Tribolium castaneum: one gene and its partner. The protein of the gene in region 2 interacts with the protein of the main gene of each other region in a biochemical or structural test. Links are inferred from orthologs where the notes say so. Each region holds a gene or a part of one and is shown on either strand. Other genes may lie near its edges.

The links.
Region 1: the proteins of CSN5 (region 2) and Med form a complex in vitro, tested with the Homo sapiens proteins (2 studies listed by BioGRID). The link is inferred for Tribolium castaneum from reciprocal best matches to the Homo sapiens genes COPS5 and SMAD4.

The regions. Positions count from the first base shown.
Region 1 is NC_087403.1:6,336,158-6,347,157, forward strand, and holds the start of Med (mothers against decapentaplegic homolog 4), read right to left. Parts: upstream 6,749-11,000; 5' UTR 6,563-6,748; coding exon 6,511-6,562; intron 5,144-6,510; exon of another isoform or gene 4,961-5,143; coding exon of another isoform or gene 4,948-4,960; intron 4,865-4,947; exon of another isoform or gene 4,793-4,864; coding exon of another isoform or gene 4,774-4,792; coding exon 4,520-4,773; intron 4,457-4,519; coding exon 4,096-4,456; intron 3,977-4,095; coding exon 3,854-3,976; intron 2,007-3,853; coding exon 1,357-2,006; intron 1,312-1,356; coding exon 1,173-1,311; intron 926-1,172; coding exon 714-925; 3' UTR 1-713. Other genes in the region: AP-2alpha (AP-2 complex subunit alpha), read left to right, coding at 7,889-7,952, 8,002-8,213, 8,261-8,686, 8,735-8,843, 10,668-10,821, 10,874-11,000. UniProt on the Homo sapiens protein: In muscle physiology, plays a central role in the balance between atrophy and hypertrophy. When recruited by MSTN, promotes atrophy response via phosphorylated SMAD2/4.
Region 2 is NC_087395.1:23,651,901-23,662,089, forward strand, and holds CSN5 (COP9 signalosome complex subunit 5), read right to left. Parts: upstream 4,734-10,189; 5' UTR 4,413-4,733; exon of another isoform or gene 4,369-4,412; 5' UTR 4,348-4,368; coding exon 4,190-4,347; intron 4,141-4,189; coding exon 3,264-4,140; 3' UTR 3,208-3,263; downstream 1-3,207. Other genes in the region: S6k (ribosomal protein S6 kinase beta-2), read right to left, coding at 962-1,052, 1,098-1,289, 1,338-1,727, 1,783-1,823, 2,008-2,091; uncharacterized protein Akap200, read left to right, coding at 10,037-10,189. UniProt on the Homo sapiens protein: Probable protease subunit of the COP9 signalosome complex (CSN), a complex involved in various cellular and developmental processes.

The DNA of each region.
Region 1 (11,000 bases), on a different chromosome or scaffold from region 2:
TGGTAACAGCATGTTGTTTCTTGTTATGTGAGATCTTTTGTGGAATGATGAAGCATTTACTCCACAAGTTTTAAATACAATATTATGCAAATAAAATGTCAATTACATGTCATAATGGCGTAATTCTCAAAAAAGTAGCATACATTGTGTCAGACAATATCTATATTATACCTATCTACATTTACACAGCAAATGAAAAAATTGCAGTTTGTTAGGTACTTGTGACAAGAAAAATACAAAAAGAGGTTCCTTAAATAAGACATTCAGTACCACACTAATATCAAGCAACAAAAACGAAAAAAACTTACACACTACTCAGTTTTTCACAGCCTAATGTACATATTTACCCTTATCATTTCGTGTGCGATTACTACTTCAAATTTGGCATCCATCTTCTACAAAATAAAATGGCACAAACCAATTGAAAAAAGGTAATTTTATGAAAATATATGAAAAGTTCTGTCCGACTGTAAGGCAATTGTTTGCAATATATTTACAAAATATATATTCATGTAGAAAATAAGTGATTATCACTACAAACTTATTAAATTAAGTATTATATAAGCGTAATTTACAAACTTATAAACTACTCACTTACAAAATATTTTGTCAAACTTGCCGCCGTCAAATCGTGCCAAACATAAAATTCGGAATTGACAACAATCGTTGTTTGCCCACCGAACTACCAAAAGGGGATCAAAATATTCACACAATTACTCTATCCCACGGGGTCCATCAATCGGCATAGTATGAAGCACTTCGTCCAGCAGTTGCAGAGCGCGGTGCAGGTGGATTTCAACCCAACAAGGCGTTTCTTTAATGGACTGTCGAGGATAATCCGGGCCCCAACCTTTCACAAAACTGAGGCGCAGGATGCACAGTCTTCGCAAATCGTCAACCCCTATTCCCGTGGCTGCCGACAAACCTAAAAGATAACATCCCTTTTAACCTCTTTAACCCTCTCAGGGGGTGATTAACTACATTCGATTGCATTGTCATGCAGATTACGTAAGTATGCAAAATTTCAATTCATTTGGACAACAGAAACCGTTTCAAATTTGTCCCGGAAAATATGAAACAGACAGGCAGACAACAAAAGACCAATGAATGTGAGTTCAGTAGAAAATTTTACATAAAAATAAGTATTGTAAAAAAATGAAATAAATAATTACTTATGGCTGGCGCTATCCCGCCGACTGAGTGCGGTCCAGGGATGTGCCCCGCCACCGCCGCCGCCTGTGCCGCCGCCGCTGCCTGTGCTGTGGCTGCCTGAGTTGTCATCTGGTTGTGACACTGCCTTAGATCAAAGACCTGCAACGGCAATTAAAACCCCGATTTTCCGACGTGAAACAATACCTTTATGTAGGCTGACGGGTAAATTTTGTGTACGGCATCGCCGGGTTGTCGTCCAGCCTCCCTATCCAGATAATAACTCTGGACGAAAACGGAATGGTCACTTAAGCAGCGCAACCAAACGTCGCCTTCGCCCCTTAAATCTAACTGAACCCCCTTGCCAATGTGCAGTCTCGCTCTCTCGCTTTGGTCCGTCCTGTGCACATTACTCAACGCACCAAGGCAAAACCGGTTGCCTCCAGAGGGGTCGACGTAGCCGTCAATTGTCACATTCGGGCAGCTTGAGGGTACTTTGAACGTTTCACCCACTTGAGTGTCCAGCTCGAAGTAGGCGACGGAACACCAGTACTCGGGGGCTGGCTGGGTGGACAACAGACCAGCGATGTTTACGTCGTTGCATTGGTTTGTGTTCCAGTAAGCTGTGTGATGGGTGCGGTTATCAGGGGGCTGCATTGATTGGGTGTAGGTTAACGTATTAGATCCTGTCCAAGTACCACCAGCCCCAGTGAACGATTGGCCCATGGTAGCCGTAGCCGCGGGTTGGCTGCCGCTTATGGTACCACCGTTGTTGTTAACAACAGCAGTTGTCGTATGGGTGGAGTTGTTGAACCCGTTTTGTTGCAAATGGGGCGACACGGGAGGGTTACTCCCACCTAATATCGGTTACAATTAGAAGATGAATAACAGTAATTTGCACAAAATTTAAATAAAACACGCGTCTCTAAAAAATACTACTTCAAACTCACTCACACAATAAATATTATTACTACCTTTAAAGAATTTTTTTTTTTCGTTCAAAGCGTCGCCGAAACTTTCCTGTTCATTTAATTCTAATTTTTGTGTCTTGTAGTAAATAATTATAAGCTGTCACGAAAATGAAAGCATTGTCACCAAAATAAATATTTGTTAAGAAACAAAATATTACATAAAATCAATCTATATTTTTTTTCCCCGTAAGTGATTGTGAATGTGCGTACATATCTAATAAATCTCTTAAATCCGAAAAATAATTGTTTTCAAAATTTTAGTTTTATCAGAAAATAAATTTGTTTGATTTCATCAACTCCATATAAATAGAAGTATCGATGCAGCAATTGTTTTTTTTTTCAGTTTTTAATGTAACTTCACTACCGTGTATAAAAATTTTAGAGAAATATCAACAGTAATCAGACAAAATAATGTATTATGAAACAGTTTATTTATTTTATACAATTTTTATATTTATAAAATAATAGGTTACAAAATGGTCCTCCAAAAAAATTTTAATTTTATTCCAGACTTTTGATGTGTACTGTATATTTGGTATCAATTTGTAAATTTTCTGACTGTTGTAACGAAACATCTTAAGCTATGAAATTAGACCTACATTGTATTCTGTTGTTTCCAGACACTGATAAAATGGAACTTCCTTATACCTGAATCCTGGTTTCTAATTTCTAAGTACCTATCAGGCACAGTTCAGGGAACAATAAGATTATTGACTTCTTTCAAAGAAAACTTTCACAAATTTAAGAGATTAAAATATTAGCCACGCGATCTTTTACAATTTACGACCTTTGTAACCGAAGTGTGAACACAGGTACAGCTACAGACTGAGTGTGGACCCTGCCCAGAGTACATTACTGGTTGTTCTCAGAAAAGAATAATAAGTACTAAAAACCAACTCGCTAGTTTACTCCAAGTGAAAATATTATTTTTGTAGTATTTTTTTGGAAAACTCCGTTTTTGTAACAGAACTAAGAAAAATCGATCAATAAAAGTTTAGCTCAACATCACCAATAATAAAAACTAAACGTCAAAAATGAAATCAAATATTTTTTATATTTAAATTTGTAATCTAGCCCAAGTGAGATAATGTTTCGAAAATTGTCGAACACCCCGCTAACTGATAATAATTCCAGGTGATCTATTACCTTTAAAAGTTTTTTTGAGTTTAGAATATTAACAGTCGTTCGGGATTTAAAAACGTCGACAAATAATAAATTATGTACACTTCTATCGTTTTTAATAAAAGAACGCTTGCTGTATTTTATAATTTAATAATTCATAATATAATGAGGGATCAAATTATTTATTTTGTTCACGATTTTCGTTTCTACTTAACTTATAAAGTTAAACTGAAGGTACATTTTGAAATAATTTAGTGTTGGCATTTTGAAAACAAAACAATTATTCGGTAATTTTAAATCATCTTTACCAAGTTGCTGGAACACCCGGTATAAACACCAAATCTTGTGTGTTTGTTGGAAGAACTCACTACTTTATCTTCACGTAGCAATTAACTGAACACTAACATTGAGTACAATCGATAAAATGAAGTCACCGGAAAAGCATTTACTAAGTGGAAATTTGAAGTTAAGGTGTAAGAAAAATATTTAAAACGATGCAATAGTAGTAACACTGAGACGGGCGTTTTTTTGTACGAACTAGACTAAACCTACAATACGAGTAACACAACAGTGCTTTGAGAAAATGCAAAATAAAACAAAAAGAATCTTACGATGAGGTATATGCATGTGCGGTAACCAACTAGATCTGGAACATGCGTCAACTCCCCCTTCAATTTTAGGTACGGGATGTCCCATAACTGGTCTGTTTGGTGAATTATACATTCCCTGTTCACCTACCACAACAACGAAAACATAACATGCATAACTAAAAATACGAAAAGTGGGTTCTTAAAATAAAAAGTCTTCGAATCAGAGAATACAATAGACTAGTGAGTGAGAACACGCAGCTTACTTGTGGAAGGTGCCTGAAGTCCGCTCAGGGCGAAATTCTGCTGTGGGGGCTGGTGTTGGATGGTCTGGGAGACTTCAATGCCGATTTCGCTGTCTACGTCCATACTGCCTCCAGGGACCGGTCCAGCGGTGTACTCATCTTTCACTAATCGAGCGGTTCCAGATTGCAACGTAAGTCCAGAGAGGTCAATGCCGGGGGACACTACCCGTTCGTAATGGTACGGATTCACACATACTGAGTCACATTTTAAATCAAACGCAAACTGACAATATTTCACGTGTTTGAGTTCGTTTTTGTGGAGGTCGGGCCATCGCCAGATTCGAGCGTAGATAACGTGCGGAAAGCCCTTGCGTCCGGCAACCTAAACAACACAGAAACTGTAGCAACAACGCTTGAGAGAATTGCAAGGAAAGCTTGTGTGTACCTGCAGGCGGCCGTCGAGAGTCCTCTGGATCGTGACGCACTTGCTCGGATGTGCCCCACTGGTGGTTATAGCAGTGATAAGCGAGTCTAGTTCATCCCTTTTCTCTTTTAGCTTTTTCACCAGGGACTCTATAGCACGTTTGGCGAAGCCTTCGCTTTCTCCCCCTTGTCTGTGGCACATGAGACTGTGCACAATGCTCAGGCAAGCGTCAGCCGATGAGGGTGCTGTTGTGGCTAACCCTGACATATCTCCAACTACAAAAATGACCACCATAAATACAAAATTGTCAACAGTCTCGCATCTCGGGAAGTGGACGAAACGATGCAAGTGATAAGACAGTGATTGCTGAAAGCGTGCTGTTACCGATTTTGTAAATAAACAATAACAAAAACAAAAATAGATGATTATGGTTGACACTAGAAGCCTACCTTGGGGACGCATAAAAACCCCGGAAATGTTCGTGCAGAGTAGACTTTTCGATACAAATAAGTGGAAGAAATCTAACTTTTGTAAAAAATAATTGCATAGATCTTAATTTGTTGTTGAAAACCGCCGCTGAAGAAAACCATTGACGTCCGACAGAAGTGGACGAGAACTAATGTCAAATGGTTTGACAGAAAACGTGTTCGTCGGAACATTTCACTGCGAGTCAATAGCGCGAGTTGCATAACCAACCACCTCAAATTTGGATTGAAAAAAACATAAATTCCACTAATTTCAGCTAAACAACAAATAAAAAATGTAAAAATTGTTGAAATATAGTTACATTTTTTACAATTAATAAAATGTCTCCCACACTTCAATTTTATTTTTTTTAAATAATATAAAAACTTGATAAAAAATGCTTTTTAAATAATAACATTAGAAACCTTTTTGATAAACATTTATTAATAAATTAATAATAATAATAATAATAATAATAATAATAATAATAATAATAATAATAATAAATTACGTCATATTCTTTAGGAATTAATTAAAAATTTTTTCTTGAAATGCGTCGTAGTTTACCTTTACTAATAACTAAGCTATAGAGCTGGAGTACAGTATTTTATTTATTAACTAAAATAAATAAATAAATAATACATAAATAAAAATAAATAAAAAAATATTTCGGCTTAAACTTTGTAAAAATTAATTTAAATATTTTAACATACCGACAGCTGAAGTTTAGCTTAGCACCACCCCCCTCCCCCCAAAAAAAAATATTTTTGGATCCACCCCTGGTTTTCATCATTGATAACATGATAACAGCGCAACACTTTTCTCTTTATTTACACAAAGAACGAGGCATACTTTTAAGTACTCCCTCGCGCGTGCTCTAAAAACTGAACAGAAGATAAGCGAAAACATCCGTTTAACGTATATTATATTGTTTACATTCAATATGGATTTACAGAAACCTGTAATTAAATGGTCATGCAATAATATCTTCAGTGGTAACGCTTTGGTGTTTATTTTGCTTTCATATTTGGCATAACACATACAAATAATATAATATCGGTTAAAGTATTTATTTTTTTAACACTTAAATTTGGCGTCTCTCTTGAGAATACCATTTTTGGTTTTTTTAGCCAAATAAGTGGGAATTTTTTTTCAAAAAAAACAGACGTGCACTCGTTGAACGTATTTTGCGTTAATTTAATACATTTCCGACTTGTCTTAATTGTTATAATTTAATAAAATTAATAAAAATCAATAATACATAATAAAATTGCACAGTATCCCACATTTAGTAATACCCCTGAATTACAGAGGGCGGGACATATCTAATTGCAAGCGGGAACAATTTTTTTTACATTATTTAATTAATGATTATATTTCTATTGTTTTTCTACTGCTTATTTGGTATTAGGTAAAATATGTTATTGACAGTTTTAACTTATGTTGTAAAAGCATATTTTCTCCAAAATTATGGCTGGTCCGCTATGAAAAAAAAATACTTTTGGTGATAAAAAATATATGTTTTCAAGTGCACTAAATCAAAATACCTTCTTTCGACGAACTTGTGGAGAATATGTGTCCCGTGGAAAGCCCCACCATTATTTAACACTTGCTTCCGCAAAAACTAACTTCAACAAACTGGCGCTTAATTTTTGGCCCGCGTTTAACACTTGCTTTCAGTTTACATTATTATTACATTACTCATTACGTCACTAGCTCAGTTTCTTATTTCTTTTCTCGTCTGCAACAGAATGAGACAACTGATGCTAAGTGCTAAAACGGCAACTCTAATACCACATGCAAGAGAAACCTAAATGCGCATACGCAAAATTGCGAACCGGACTACAAATACCAAGCAAATCATAGGAAACGAGAAAAAATGCAATTTTAATACTATTGATTGACCCTGAAATGAATCAAAAAAGGGGCCAAAATGTATTAAGAATGTTTTTTAATTTATTGTAACAATAGTTTCGGTTGCACAACTATGGGTCATTGAAACTATTACAGTTGTAATTAATGATTCTCCTTTTTTGCTCTCCGGTCAAGCATAATGCAACGGTATTTGATAGGCTGCTGCATTGCATCCTGTTTCATATCGTGCGTATTACGTTCCCCAGAGATAAAAATTACGAGTTTTTAATTTGGTTTTTAGCACTGGCTTAATACGCAGAATTGTTATTGAAAGATTAGTTGATAAATGATAAATGAATAATTAAAAATTGCATTCTTTTGAGTGTTATGCAACCAAAAATACACACAATTAAGTTGATACGATACAAAAAAACGCCTATTTTTTGATTATTATTGGCGCAGTTGTGGCAAACAAATATCGTATTTTGGCCCACGCTGCATATAATCTATTGTTCTTGCTAATTGATGTGTTTTTAAATCAATTACAGCGATACACCACGCATTAAATTTTTTTAATTTTTACTATTTATTGTTTCATAAAACTACCGCCTGAGTCGAAAATTGTTAAATGGATAGAAAAACGCAAGTGATATCAATTTGCGCAAAAATTGATTAAACTTGTCTTGGTGATTTCCTTTTTGGATAATTTTGATAGGCAGCGTTCGGGGCGTCCTCTAGCCGCAAACTCGTCCTGTCAATTTGCCCATGTATATGTGGAGTGGCAAAGATTGGTGTGTAAAAAGATATTTTGTTGACAATTGACCGTATTTATCGCTTGTTTGTGTAGATAAATAATTGTGGAAATCGGATATTTAAAGAAAAGTTGTGAGTGAGTCGTTTCTTTTCCCGTACATGTAGCCGATATCTGTCAAAAACCGCAATAGTATAGGGGGAGGGTCACTGGTGACCTTTCGCAGTTTTTTGATTTTTAATAGGGGTGAAGTGGGTTGTTTCTGACCGGGGTCGTTTTTCAGAGGAGGATTTTGGAGGAACGAAGCGATTTCAGCCAACATGCCGGCAGTGCGAGGAGATGGCATGCGTGGCTTGGCCGTATTTATTTCCGATATAAGAAATTGTAAGAATTTTGCCCGTTCCGGTGCCCGTGACTCAAACTCTGTTGCCAGGTAAAAGCAAAGAAGCCGAGATCAAGCGCATTAACAAGGAGCTCGCGAATATACGGAGCAAGTTCAAGGGGGACAAGACTCTGGATGGGTACCAGAAGAAGAAGTACGTGTGCAAGCTGCTCTTCATATTCTTACTCGGGCATGACATTGACTTCGGGCATATGGAAGCTGTAAATCTCCTATCATCCAACAAATACTCCGAAAAGCAAATAGTGAGTCGATCGGAGGACGCTTCTGCATTTGACTGTATTTTTTGTAGGGATATTTATTTATTTCAGTGCTAGTCAACACTAATAGTGAGCTGATCAAACTCATAATTCAAAGTATTAAAAATGACTTGGCTTCGAGAAACCCAATTCACGTGAACTTGGCATTGCAATGTATTGCCAACATCGGCAGCAGGGAAATGGCCGAAGCCTTTGGTAACGAAATACCAAAACTTCTCGTCTCGGGCGACACCATGGATGTAGTTAAGCAAAGTGCAGCTCTCTGTCTTCTGCGTTTGTTCAGAACGTCGCAGGAAATCATCCCCGGAGGGGAGTGGACTTCACGCATCATACACCTCCTCAATGACCAACACATGGGGGTTGTGACAGCCGCGACAAGTCTCATAGACGCATTAGTTAAGAAGAACCCTGAGGAGTACAAAGGCTGCGTTTCCCTCGCCGTTTCGCGCCTAAGTAGAGTAAGTTGTTTATTGAGATAACTGCAAATATTTTACAAAAAAATACAGATCGTGACGGCAAGTTACACCGATTTACAAGACTACACATATTATTTCGTACCAGCGCCCTGGCTCTCCGTCAAACTGCTACGTCTCTTGCAAAATTATACCCCGCCAGGTAGGTGCGACATAGGAAAAAAATCAATCACTCAAATTTAAATTGCATGATAATTTTACTCAAATAACAAGTTGAAAGGTCATGCAAAATCGCAGTTGATTTCGTTTGATAACCTGCCAAACTAAATTAGGTCACAATTGACGCCGGATTATAGTACTACGTATATCAAGTTTTAGCCGCAGACCAAACACTCGAAAAAATTCTATGTGATTTTTTCAAATGCAAATGAGTTAAATGAAACATTTTTACATCAAAGACACTGTTCAAAGTTATTTGAACCCGAACTGAAACGTGTGTAAAGGGGGGAAATAACTTTTTCTACTTTCTTCAAAACAAAAAAATCAAGAGTAACTTTTGGAAATTGGATTTATGTTACAACTTAATAAATTTCAGAAATTATTAACTTATTCAAAAGTCTAGAATAATTTGTTGCTAGTTTTTAAGTTCCCACCTTTTCACCTTGCGAACCCTTTATAAATTTATAGAATATATAATATATTTCTTTATTTTATTTGTTTGTCTTATTGCATATTTTAAATATTAATGTTGCATGAATAAATTAAAAAAAAACAACTAAGAATTTAGTATTTTTATTAGTAAATATTATGTAGGGGATGTTTTTTAATCAGGCGTGTTAAATAGTTTAACGTTGTCACCATAGCCAAATTATTTGTAGTAATTTTAGTAAAGGAAGTCAGTTTCAGTGTTGATTTATTTTGACAAAATGCCATTAAGTGTTTGTAAAAAAATCCTATTTGAAAATCTAGAAACGAAAGCACAACAACATAGACTAATTTGGTATCCATAACAGCTTTTGATGTAAATGTGGAGACAAAAAGGGCTTACTAAACACTGCAATTTCCAATTTTTAACAAGAAAGTAACGAAGATGGAAAATAATCATGTGAAATAGAAAGTAATTAAATTAAATGAAGGTGACTGATTGCATTGCACTTTATGAAGGAGTAGAAAAAAGTGCCTATTTTATTTTTGAAGTAAGGCTGGAAAATAATTTAGAACTTGCATCAATTTGAAGCCCTTAACAGTTCGAAAAAATTGTTGAAAATTGATAGCCAATCTTCATAATATCTATTTATTGTTTGACTTTGACTTTAACTTTTTTCAGTAGAAGCGTACGAAAAACTTATTTTTGCCCATAATATTGTACAGTTCTATGCCTGTTCCTATTATTAAACATTGGGTTCTGTTTTTATAAACACACAACGGTGATATCGTCTTCAGGTGTTCGATAATAATGCAAATTTTGATGAATCTTCAGATTGAAAACGTAACTAATTAAAAAAAAAAATCGGGACTAAAACAGTACACAAACAATTTGTAGCCCACGTTGACGATGATATTTTGTAATTTTTTACGTTAGCGTTTTAAAATTTCGCCATTACACTACTTTTTTTTGGCGAACCACCCATTAAGAAACACTTACTCTAGCCAACCGATTTTGTAAAATGAGGTATGATATAATAGTTTTTGGAATCGTTTAGTTAAGAAGGACGCTTCACAAATCTTAAACTTAATTTTCGACGGAATATCTGTTTTTTTTTAGATTTATAGACAATTTAATGGATTAGATGACTTTAATTGCAATTTTGAAAAGAAAAACGTCTAAGTCAACAATTTTTATGTAAAAAAAATTCAGTACTTAAAGGGAAGAAATAAAATAAAAACACTGCTAAAACTAAATGTATATGGTTTGGCGTTTGTCATAATTTTCTTCTTAACAATTGTTAAGGGACCGTGGTTGAAACTTGATTCATTTTTTCACTTTTTTTTGTTACACTTGCTCCAAAGTTTTATGAATTCTTAGCTGAAGACCCGGGGGTGCGCGGCCGCTTGAACGAATGCCTAGAAACGATATTGAATAAAGCGCAGGAGCCTCCAAAATCGAAGAAAGTGCAACACTCAAATGCTAAAAATGCCGTACTGTTCGAGGCCATTAGTTTAATTATTCACAATGACAGGTATATTTATTTATTTTGAAATTTGAAAAGTCTCATTTTGTTATGTATACAGCGAAGCGAATTTGTTGGTGCGTGCTTGTAACCAGTTGGGCCAATTTTTGAGTAATAGAGAAACAAATTTACGTTATTTGGCTTTGGAGTCGATGTGTCATTTAGCAACGTCTGAATTTTCCCACGAG
Region 2 (10,189 bases):
ATAATTTTCGCCTAAAACAATCATGTACTCATACATAAACAAAAAAAACGGTCATTCAACCTTTACAAAATTTCATTTCTTATCATTTAGATTGCAAAGCACTAAAAAACAGTGCGATCTTTTCCAGAATAAAACATTTAAAAATTGCAACTATTAAAAATAAAATAATTAGCACTGGCAGTTTTTATTTTTTTTGTCCAAAACAAGTTTAAAATCGTGTGCTTCTTGATTAAAAACGCTAGAGCAGACTCTTTAATTCCACGTAAATACGGAACTCAGCTTTTATTAGAAATCATTTATTTTTTACGACCTCGATAATATTCATAAAACGTTTCATGGATCAATAAATTACTATTTTCATCACATTTACGAAGTGCGAAAATTACGGAATGAAAACGTCAAGTTCCAGTCTATTAAATTCGGATCAAAACTATTTTGTTCGTGTAATAATTGAACAATGATGCTAAAACGCTGACCATTATTTCGATAGAGCGCAAAAAATAATAATACTTGCCTCGCCTTGAGAGTAAATTAACACAAAACATTTTATTCGGAAAAAAATAAACGGTGAGACTCACTTTATTAAAAAATGACCTACTTACCTTTTAAAGTAGTGCATTAAAAATTGAAATTAAATTAAATTGTGCAAATTTTTATAAAAATATTTACGATTCGACACACTTCATTAATTAGTGTGGCGCGATATAATTTAGGAAAAGTCAAGGTCATTGCGACCTTATCTCTCGAGATTAAAACTAAGCCGTTCCATCAGCAAACAAATATGACATTGAAAAATCACCATTTAAATACTTTCAATCGTAAGATCCTCATTAAAATCGATTTCTTGTAACTATGTACTTAAGTCAATGGAACCCTAACTGATGGCATCTCACCACACAACAATAAAGAAATCAAATGACGTCAATGCTCAATTCAATAACCACCCGCATTCAATACTCACAGCTCCCGTCAACATGTCGTAGGCCAGAGCCCCAAACGACCACCAATCCACCTCTTTCCCGTGCCCACTCCTCGTCAAAATCTCAGGCGCCCTAAACCAATGATAAGTCGGATTTTTTGGCATTTTTAGCACTCACATGTATTCAATTGTTCCGCAAAAAGTATGCGTCAAAACACCATCCCTGATATGTTCCTTGCACAATCCGAAATCGGTCAATTTAACGTGACCTTTAGAATCTAACAGGACGTTTTCCGGCTTCAAATCCCGGTAAACGATCCCGAGAAAATGCAAATGTTCTATGGCGAGTAAAATCTCAGATAGGTAAAAACTGGAATTGAGAGAATTATTTGGGGGATTTTAAACAGTGGTTGGTTACATGGCTGTTTCTTCTAACAGGAGCCCCTCTTTCTCCAGCATGGTGAAGAGCTCGCCCCCTTGTAAAAATTCTAGTATTAAATAGAGTTTGCCGTTCGTTTGGTAGGCGTAAATTAATTCGACTATAAAAGGATGCTTGACAGCTTCTAAAATATTGCGTTCAGCCTTAGTGTGTGCAGTGTCTTTCTGGTTGCGTACAATGGAAGCCTTGTGTAGGATTTTCATCGCGTAAATGCTTTCCTTATCGCTTCCCGTCTCTTTGATCACTTGAAACACCTTGCCGTAGCCCCCTTTCCCCAAGACGCTGAGTATGCGGAAATCCTCGTTCCCGATCTTCTTCCCCTTGTTCACGCTCTGCTCGTCCACCTGTACCCGCTCGGTGTCGGCCGTGCTAAACGTTATCAATGAAAACAACCAACTTATCGCCCAAACTTATCAACACTTACTCAATCATGTCGGAAACATCTGGCTGCTCGTCGTATTGATCCTGCAAAGATTTCGCAACGATTTAAAACACAACTCGACAATGCGGCTCCAGGAGCCTCTCAATCTGCGTCAAACCGAGAGAAATTTCGCATTGCACAAGATGCAAATGCCACAAGGTGTGACACTGGACTCGGATTCTAGGACGGGAAATCGGATCGGGGGCTCGGTTCGGACAATTTGATCACCTCTGCGATGTCTATGGCATCGTCCTCGTCGTCGGAGCTCTGGGGCAGCCCGTCGTGTAACTCAATATCGAAGATTCCTGCCATGATTCCTCCTCAAACCACGCACTGATTCGCACTGAACATAACACCAAACGGGTGAGGCGAGCGCGCTTTGCACCAATTTGCACCCACAGTGCGGATTTTTCGCCGAAATGCGCCGAAATCCACCAAGACAACACCACAGTCAAACCACGGACCACTCAAGAATATTGGGTTATGTCGGATTCCAGGCGTGCCAATGCGATAAGGCGGAAAACCCAGCCAGACGCGGCTGTGATTGGCCGAGCGGGGGCGGGAGCTTCAAATTCGATGATTTATGACATGAGACGAAAGTTAAGCACTTTCCAAACATTTTCGGCACAAATGAAAGTGGCCCGGAACAACATAACTCCAACAAATCCGCCTGTTTTTAATTGGTTTAACACGTTCACTTGTCAACAGAATCGCATATGGAGATTAAAGGCAAATATTTGAGGAAAATATTTGCCCTGCACCACTTATCCTTGAAACTGGCTTAGAAAAACAAGAATTTGTTTGGTACTTCCGACGTGTCAACAAATCTTTATTTTTAAAGGATTGATTCTAGAATTTGTGTTTGACGCAATTATCGTTTGCATAATGTTTGCACTGGAATATAAATGCATCCGGTTGGGTTTTTGCTACGGAGGACTATGACTTAGGAGACGGAACGAGATGCAGAATCGTGGGATTTTCTGGACCCAAAAAGTGAAGCAAAAATGTGGGCACTTCGAGCGTTATACCGGCGCCAAGTCGTTTTAAATTAATTTAAATTCATTCAATTATTCACTAATTACTTGAAAAAAAAAATGCAGGAATGTTGAGTTTTGCACTCTGAACAGACTGAGAAAAGCTGATCGTATTCCCAGCGTTTTGAAAAATATGGGATAGAGTGCTAATTGGCAAAGATTGAAATTTTTTTAAATGTAGTTTACGGTATTTTTTTTTCATTATGTTTATGTCTTACTATTGAGAATTTAATGCTCCATTTGCCTGTATTTTTTTGCTGTGTTAACCGATATACGAATACAATTTTTTCAAATCCATTGCTTTGGAAGGGAACGTTTTATTTGTACGACGTTTCGTATCCTAACCTTTAGATATCCGTAGTTTTTTAGGACTAGGTAACCAATAACACACCAATTAGATTATAAATAAATATTTATTAAATCCAAACAAATCAGACAGATTAAAACGCGTTAATGGGTCGAATTATTCAAGGAAGTGCTGTTAAAAAGCCGGTCTTTGATCATTTGGGCCATCAGTCCGTGAATAATCTCAATCGTAGTCTTGCAACTGTCCTTTGTAGCTTTCAACAGTTTGTCTTCTGTTCGTTTTTCGTGCGGATCAGTGCCGCCTACGATGAACCCCCCGCGCCCAATGGCCGCTTCCGACTGTTCCAACTTCTCCGACAAATCAAAAATTTGCCCAGTTGTGTAATCAGCATTCGTTAACAAACTAGACGAGCTCAAAGTATTGACCCAATATTTGTTCCACAAGGAATCAAGCAATCGCCTATCAAGTGACGATTTAAAATACGACACTTCAAGCGAATAATATTGTTTGCAATGCACCCCAAAATCCTCGATTTTGTTCAGAGGAATGGTCTGGTACTCTGACGGTTCCTCATTTGCTGGTTTGTACCCTTTCGGGTACGTCCTGAACGCCCCTAGACACACCTTCCCCGCGGAAATGGTTCTCACAGGATCAATCACAATGGCAACGAACGGTTCCTGGAAATTCTGGTTGAGCATCTGGGTGCCAACGTCAATCCCAGACAACCAGCACCCGTATCCCGGGTGGCTGTGGTACCAGCCTATCGCGTTCTCCTGGCGGCCCACCAGCTTCGCAGCCTCGATGTACGAACTCATGTACTCGTAAGCCTGAGCTTGTGCGTTGACTCGGGTCTCTGTCCCTTCCACAGGCAGCGCAAACGAGTCCATCACAAACATTGTGTTTCCGTCGACTTTGCCCAAAATCAGGCCCATGACCTCCAGGGTGCCCCCCGAACGCGCGTGCATGACCATTTTCAAGAGGGCCAAGGCCGAGATTTTGATATCTTTGAAGAAGTGAGGGCTGGAAATTGAGATTAGGTAAAGTGAGGTTAGGGCCGACTTTTGCCTACTCTTTCTCCCAGGGCTTCGCGGCGAGGATGTCTTGCTGCTGCTTCTTGTCGTAGCGGTAAATATCGTCGACCGAGTTCACCAGTTCGACTTTATTGGCCATTTCCCAGGTTTTTTGTGCGATTTGTTCCTGGGTTTCGGAGGTCCCCGGCTTCGACATTGCGGCAAAAGGGGGCAAAAGCTAATCACAAATGGAGAGTTATTGCGAAAATGACGAGGATTTACCGTAATTCTGGGCTATTTTGGGCAAAAATTCGAAAAAATCGGACCTGTCAAAACACAGATGTCAAATTACAGCGCTACCAATCGTAAATATAAAAACTGGAAGGACACTTTTTTAATTTTTTTTTTTAGATATGGGACGATTTACGTATTAATTGCTGTAATAATGAGACAATGCATAATGGTAATGAAAAAAAATCGATAAATTGTTTGTGGCACAAACCGACAAGGAGTTTTGTCACAGAAAATAATTATTTTACGAGTGGCTTGGCATTTGGTGGCCCGTTATTGCCTTCATTGGGCTATTTTTACCGAATTGTGTTTTTCAAGGTGGGACAGGTGTTCGCAAAGTGTGTTAACAGTCCTGCAGATGTCGTCCCATTAGCGTTTTTCTTTTGTTTTTTTCCCATTTGCACGAAACGACTTTGTGTTGGTTTTTGCGAACGTAAAGCCCGGCCGTAATTCGGTGTAACGTTATGGGAGTATAATTGGAGTCTCATCGTTTAAAACCCATAAACAAGTCCAACCACACCCTGACAGTTTTATTAGGGTGGTTTTTTAGCAGTTGGCAATTCTAAAGCGTCTTAAATCAAACCGACCAATCAGCGGGCGGCATTCGGTGCATAATGGTGGGGCGCCCGCCATTTTGATTCGAGATTATGCGCGTTTTAGTTAAAGAAAAGTTTGTAATAAGTAGTGTGGTAACGTTGTGTTGTAGAATTTGTGCTCGTTTTAAATAGGATTTTAGGAGGATAAGGTGAGTTTTGGGCCAAGTGGTCAATTAAATAGCATATTTTTGGGTCCGGGGGGCGATTTCCGCTAACAAATGCCGGCGAAAATGTCGTAGTTTTCGCGATTTGGGACGTTAGAGTCGAGGGATGCGCGCCGGTTGTCGCAGAATTCAAAAATTGGGGCCATGCTTGAGGCTGGGGGCTGTTGCTAGGCCGCGTTCTTTGTTAGTGCACGTCCCCCGTAATTAGGGGCGAATTCGTGACTTGGGGTCCGAGGGTGAGTCAGGGTGTCGGTGTGGCACCCACATGTCTGTGCCGAAAATCCCCAACGGAACGACCATTGTGGTGCACTTGCATTGTTCGGTTATCGCTTATTTCAAACGCAATTTGTTTATTATCTGTCTTCTTGCAATGTAATACGCGCCTGTAAAAAATTCAAATCCAAGGCCACATACTCGCGTATTGAAACACGATGAATTCCTTTCCTCCCGTTCGAACTAAATTTAGACTAGGGGATTTTACCCCCGAATTAAAAATAACCAGGTTTTTTACGCGTAAACCGGGTTTTTAAACGAGTCCAGATACCACCTGCTGCGAATTTTAAAATAACCGCAAGGATTTCCAGCGAATGCAGCTTTGTTTCAATTTAGGTGAGTTTTTGGTGGGTTCAACGGTATTTCCAACTAGTTTCGTGATGTATAGGCTCTTTGTAGTGCGGATAATGTTCTAAGCTGTGACAGTTTCAAGATTAATTTTGACTCCCAACCGGTTATTCTCCAGTAAAAGTTTACGGCTCTAAATCGTGACAATTAAATTAATAATTGTTATGCTTACATTGTAATATTGCGTGAAGGACGCTTTTTAAATTATTGACAGAAACGTGAAAAGCAGTCCCGATCTATTCTCGTTATTACAGTGGGGTCCGGTTATAACGAAATACATCAAAATCAGTTCGCTATAAGCGTAAATTTTCAAATAAAGTGTTTTTTAGCAGTAATTTTTACCCTACATATGAAATAAGACGAAATAAATAAGTATATATAGCAAAAAATTTTTATATGCAGAGTTTTGGTTGGCGAATAAATTTGGGACCAACAAGTCAGTCAAAATTTTGACTTTTAGCTGCCAACTTTCTCATTAAAATTAAGCTACTTTCGTTTTTTTGTTTAGTTGAGACACCCTGTATGAGAAACTTGGCGAGAATTCGGGTTATGCAGTGATAAGCGCTTCTGAAATGTGACTCAATGTGAATCACACTTTTGTTTACTAATAGCTATCTAATTGCGAGCCACTTATCAGTGGAGTAAAACGTAGAAAATTCGTCTATCTAAAAATAAAGTCCGGTTGTTTCCGGTGCGCGCACAAATCCGGAAAATCATTACTTGAAATTTAATTTTCAACAAAGAACGTTTTTCTCGTTACATAATGATATTCTCCGTTTCGCGGTTGACTTCTTTAGCATTTTCACACACTTGTGGTCATTTGTAATGTTTTTTTCCTGTCGTTTTTTGCAAGTGTACCGGAACTCATCACCTGTAGACCATTATTAATCCGAGTGAAATTGCTTTAATATGTTTTAGAGTTGGTCTTTTATTTGTGATCGTTCCGCTGAGTACCGAAGGGTTTATTATTGATTTGTTGCGTTATTAAGGAACATGCAAGCATAATTGCAGGTGCAAGGCTGTAATAGGAAATTGTCCTGTTTTTCAAATTCGAGTTGTGTTTGCGTCGCGTCTCTGGAATGCGTTTGTGATAAACTTGGGGCACATTTCTAACCTTTGCCTGTTTTGTATCTATTTCGAGTTGTTACAATGAGCTGGTTTAGCACCGATTTGTGCGAGTCCATTGATGGGTTTTATCACTCGAGTACAATGTCTCCATTGAAAGAATGCTTAAAATAAAGTAGCCTCCTGCTTACAAATTATTCGAAAAATGTAACCTCGGAATATTGATGACGAGACACTTCCTTTACTTATCCGAACGAATTGGCTGCTTATCATAACATTGGAACGATATGCAGTCAGTTTACCATTTCCGGGACAATGGGAAACGCCCACGACTTGTTAAAACCGTGGTCTAACACCGTTTGGTTCCATTGGATGGGCTGGAGATTCGTGTTGGACTATTGGCAAACGGTGGATTTGTTTTGTTGTAATTCAATTCCGACTGTTTTAATGTCATGCTCAAGTAAATGTCAGTCGAGAGCTATTATCGTGCTTGAATTGCAAATAAGTTTATCTCTTCTAAATGAAGAACATTTATTGATAATCGTGGAACAAAACCGGTCTAATAAAGGGTCATTTTCATATTTTTACTGATAAGGCTTTGAAAAACGCAACAGGTCAAGAGCACGGGTGGGAGCCGGCCATAAAGGCACACAAAACACATTGTTTGTTATCAATTGCATTCTTTCGTCGATAACAGCGCGCTGTGTGTATTTTTTTGGCACGATGCCTCAACTTATTGGCTTAAATTGGCCTCGAAGTTAATGGTCGTCGACTCCGCGATCTTTGTTAACTTTCATCTCAACAACACATATGTTGTGCATCTGATGGCGCTTTTAGCTACGTCACCCGTACATTGTTTTCCGTGAATTTCGGTGAAGAATTACAATGTTCTACTTGCTTTGGATTAGGAGAAAAAAAGGTAAAGTCAGCGTGCAGCTGGTTGAGGTCATTCGTGATCTCGGCGTACCTGAGAGTTTTTTGATTGGGTTTTTGAGGAGGGAAAAAATTGAGGCTCGGTTAGGCTCGTTATTCCGGTGTAATTGCCGTGATTCTTTTTTTATTTATGTAAGAAATTGATGGTTTGCCTGATGATGAAAAATGTGGTGATTCACGGTTTGTTTTGGCCTAGTTTAAAAAATGCCAGAGTGGTTTTATGGTAATGGTGGAAGCAGTGTTTTAAGGTCAAACTGAGGTTTTTAAAACGGAACGTAATGCAAAAGCAAGACAAAGAAAGTTGGACGCTGCTGCTGTGGCTATTATGATTTTGGCGAAATACAGTGGATCCTCTATTATCCTACCCAGTCTTGGGCAAAGCCAAGTCGGATAAATTACAATTCAGTCTTTATTTATTTGGTACGATGAAAGTTTTTTTATTGTATTAAACGTTCTAAATACCTCGAAATAGACCAAAATACTGCATTTTTTATTAATTGTGCAAGATTCTATCCTGGTTTAAAAAGTAGTCTGACCTTTCTCTGTGGAAATTTTCTTAAATCCTTAGAAAACAGAGCGTTTTTCAGATTTCAAAAATGATATAAATGTATTAAAACAGGCGAAATTAACGCCTTCCAAATTTAACTTTGCAATTTTCTATATTTCTTTGAGAGAACAACAATATTCCGAATTTTGTGACATTCTCAAAATGATTTATGGAAGATGATACATTTTATAAAAAAAAATTGGAGTTGTTTGAGAAAAATATTCAAATTCAATGAAATATTTTTTTTCTTTCTGTGTCAAAATATTCACACAAACTCGAAATCATCGGTGGCCTTAAACGCTTACGAATGGTAAAATTAGAATTAGAACAAAAAAATGCGAAGTCTATTAAACGACTAGAAACGGATAATCGAGGTTCTACTGTAGTAACGAATTTTCTTCTGAGTTGAAAATTTTTTTTTTTAAAGATTTTGACGTAAGTCTTTGGGTTAGCAGATAATGGGTTAAAATGTGTAGCAAAACCTAGCAATGTATGAATTTTTTGCTCAGTTGCAAGTTGGTGTTGGTATTTTTTTGGAAATTAAAAAAAAAATTCCCAGAATTACTGTTATTCCATTTACTACGCCTTACCTTATCAGGTCTGAATATTTAGATGTTGTGAATAAATCAATATTAGAATTTTGAATTCTGTTTAAATAGTATTTGTTGACGGTGCTGTGTCTATTTGGTTTTTATCACTTTTAAACATTTCCGTCTGTCCCTATGACATTTTCTCCCAACGGAAATGCATTCGAAGCACGTGAAATGGCGTTTCGTTTGTTCGACGTTAAAACCCACAACCGCATTGTTATCAAAATTCAATTGATTGTTTCATTGCATTTTTCGGAGCAATTCGGCCAAAGTCTGAAGAATGCAAGCGCCGAATACGTGACATCATTAGGGTCATTAGCGATTCCTTGCGTCGAAAAACCACCGGAAACATTTGTAACAATAGTTGGAGGGTGTCCAAATGTGACACGAGTTTTTTCCTCCCAACAGTTTTTGATTAATTTCGTGTATTTAAGTTTGTTGACACTGTATGTTTATTTGTGTTACATGCATCGTATCACATCTTTGACTTTTATATCCGGAGATGGGCGCGGTTTTCCAAAATAACCCAGAGATAAAATTCGGAGTGTCATCGAAACGAACTTTTCCAACTTATCATCACACATGTACCATAAATCTTGCCGTCATAAATAATTCAATAATCCGCGTACGTCGCGACTAAACGACAACCTTTATGCAAATTGGCATTCCTTCGGCCTAAAACGGACGAAAAATTATGCGCTGGTATTCGGTACCATGAAGTTTTCCGGACGATAAAATAATCTTGTCAGTGGGTTAGTGACGAGCAGTTGACTCAACTTGATAATTTTCACGGAATTGTAATTAGTCAGTTTGTTGAAAGATTTAATTTTTCGTTGGCCTTGATCGGTACTGGCGTACTGACACACCAGACGGACAAATTCAAGTGGTCCCATGTCAGTTCTGGTGACATACGAGTCCCGTCATTGATTTTACACGTTTTTACATCAATTTTTGCATAATTTTCGAGTGGTTTTCACCCCCGTAGTGTGAGTAAACCGTGTTGTTGTCCCCCGTATCTGAGAACAAATATTTTCGTAATCGGAAAAATGCGCCTTATCGGTGGGTAAATATGGTGCGTTTTTGTTTGTTTCAGATAAAAATGGGTGCTAGACAGTCCAAGAGGTCGGTGGACATTACGACAACCCCCAAAAAGGGCGAAGAGGTCGCCGTTGAGGGCGAGGGCAAGGTGGAAAAGATCGCCGAAATCGACAAAGTCACCACGAACGGTGCCATACACAGCGAAATTGAATAC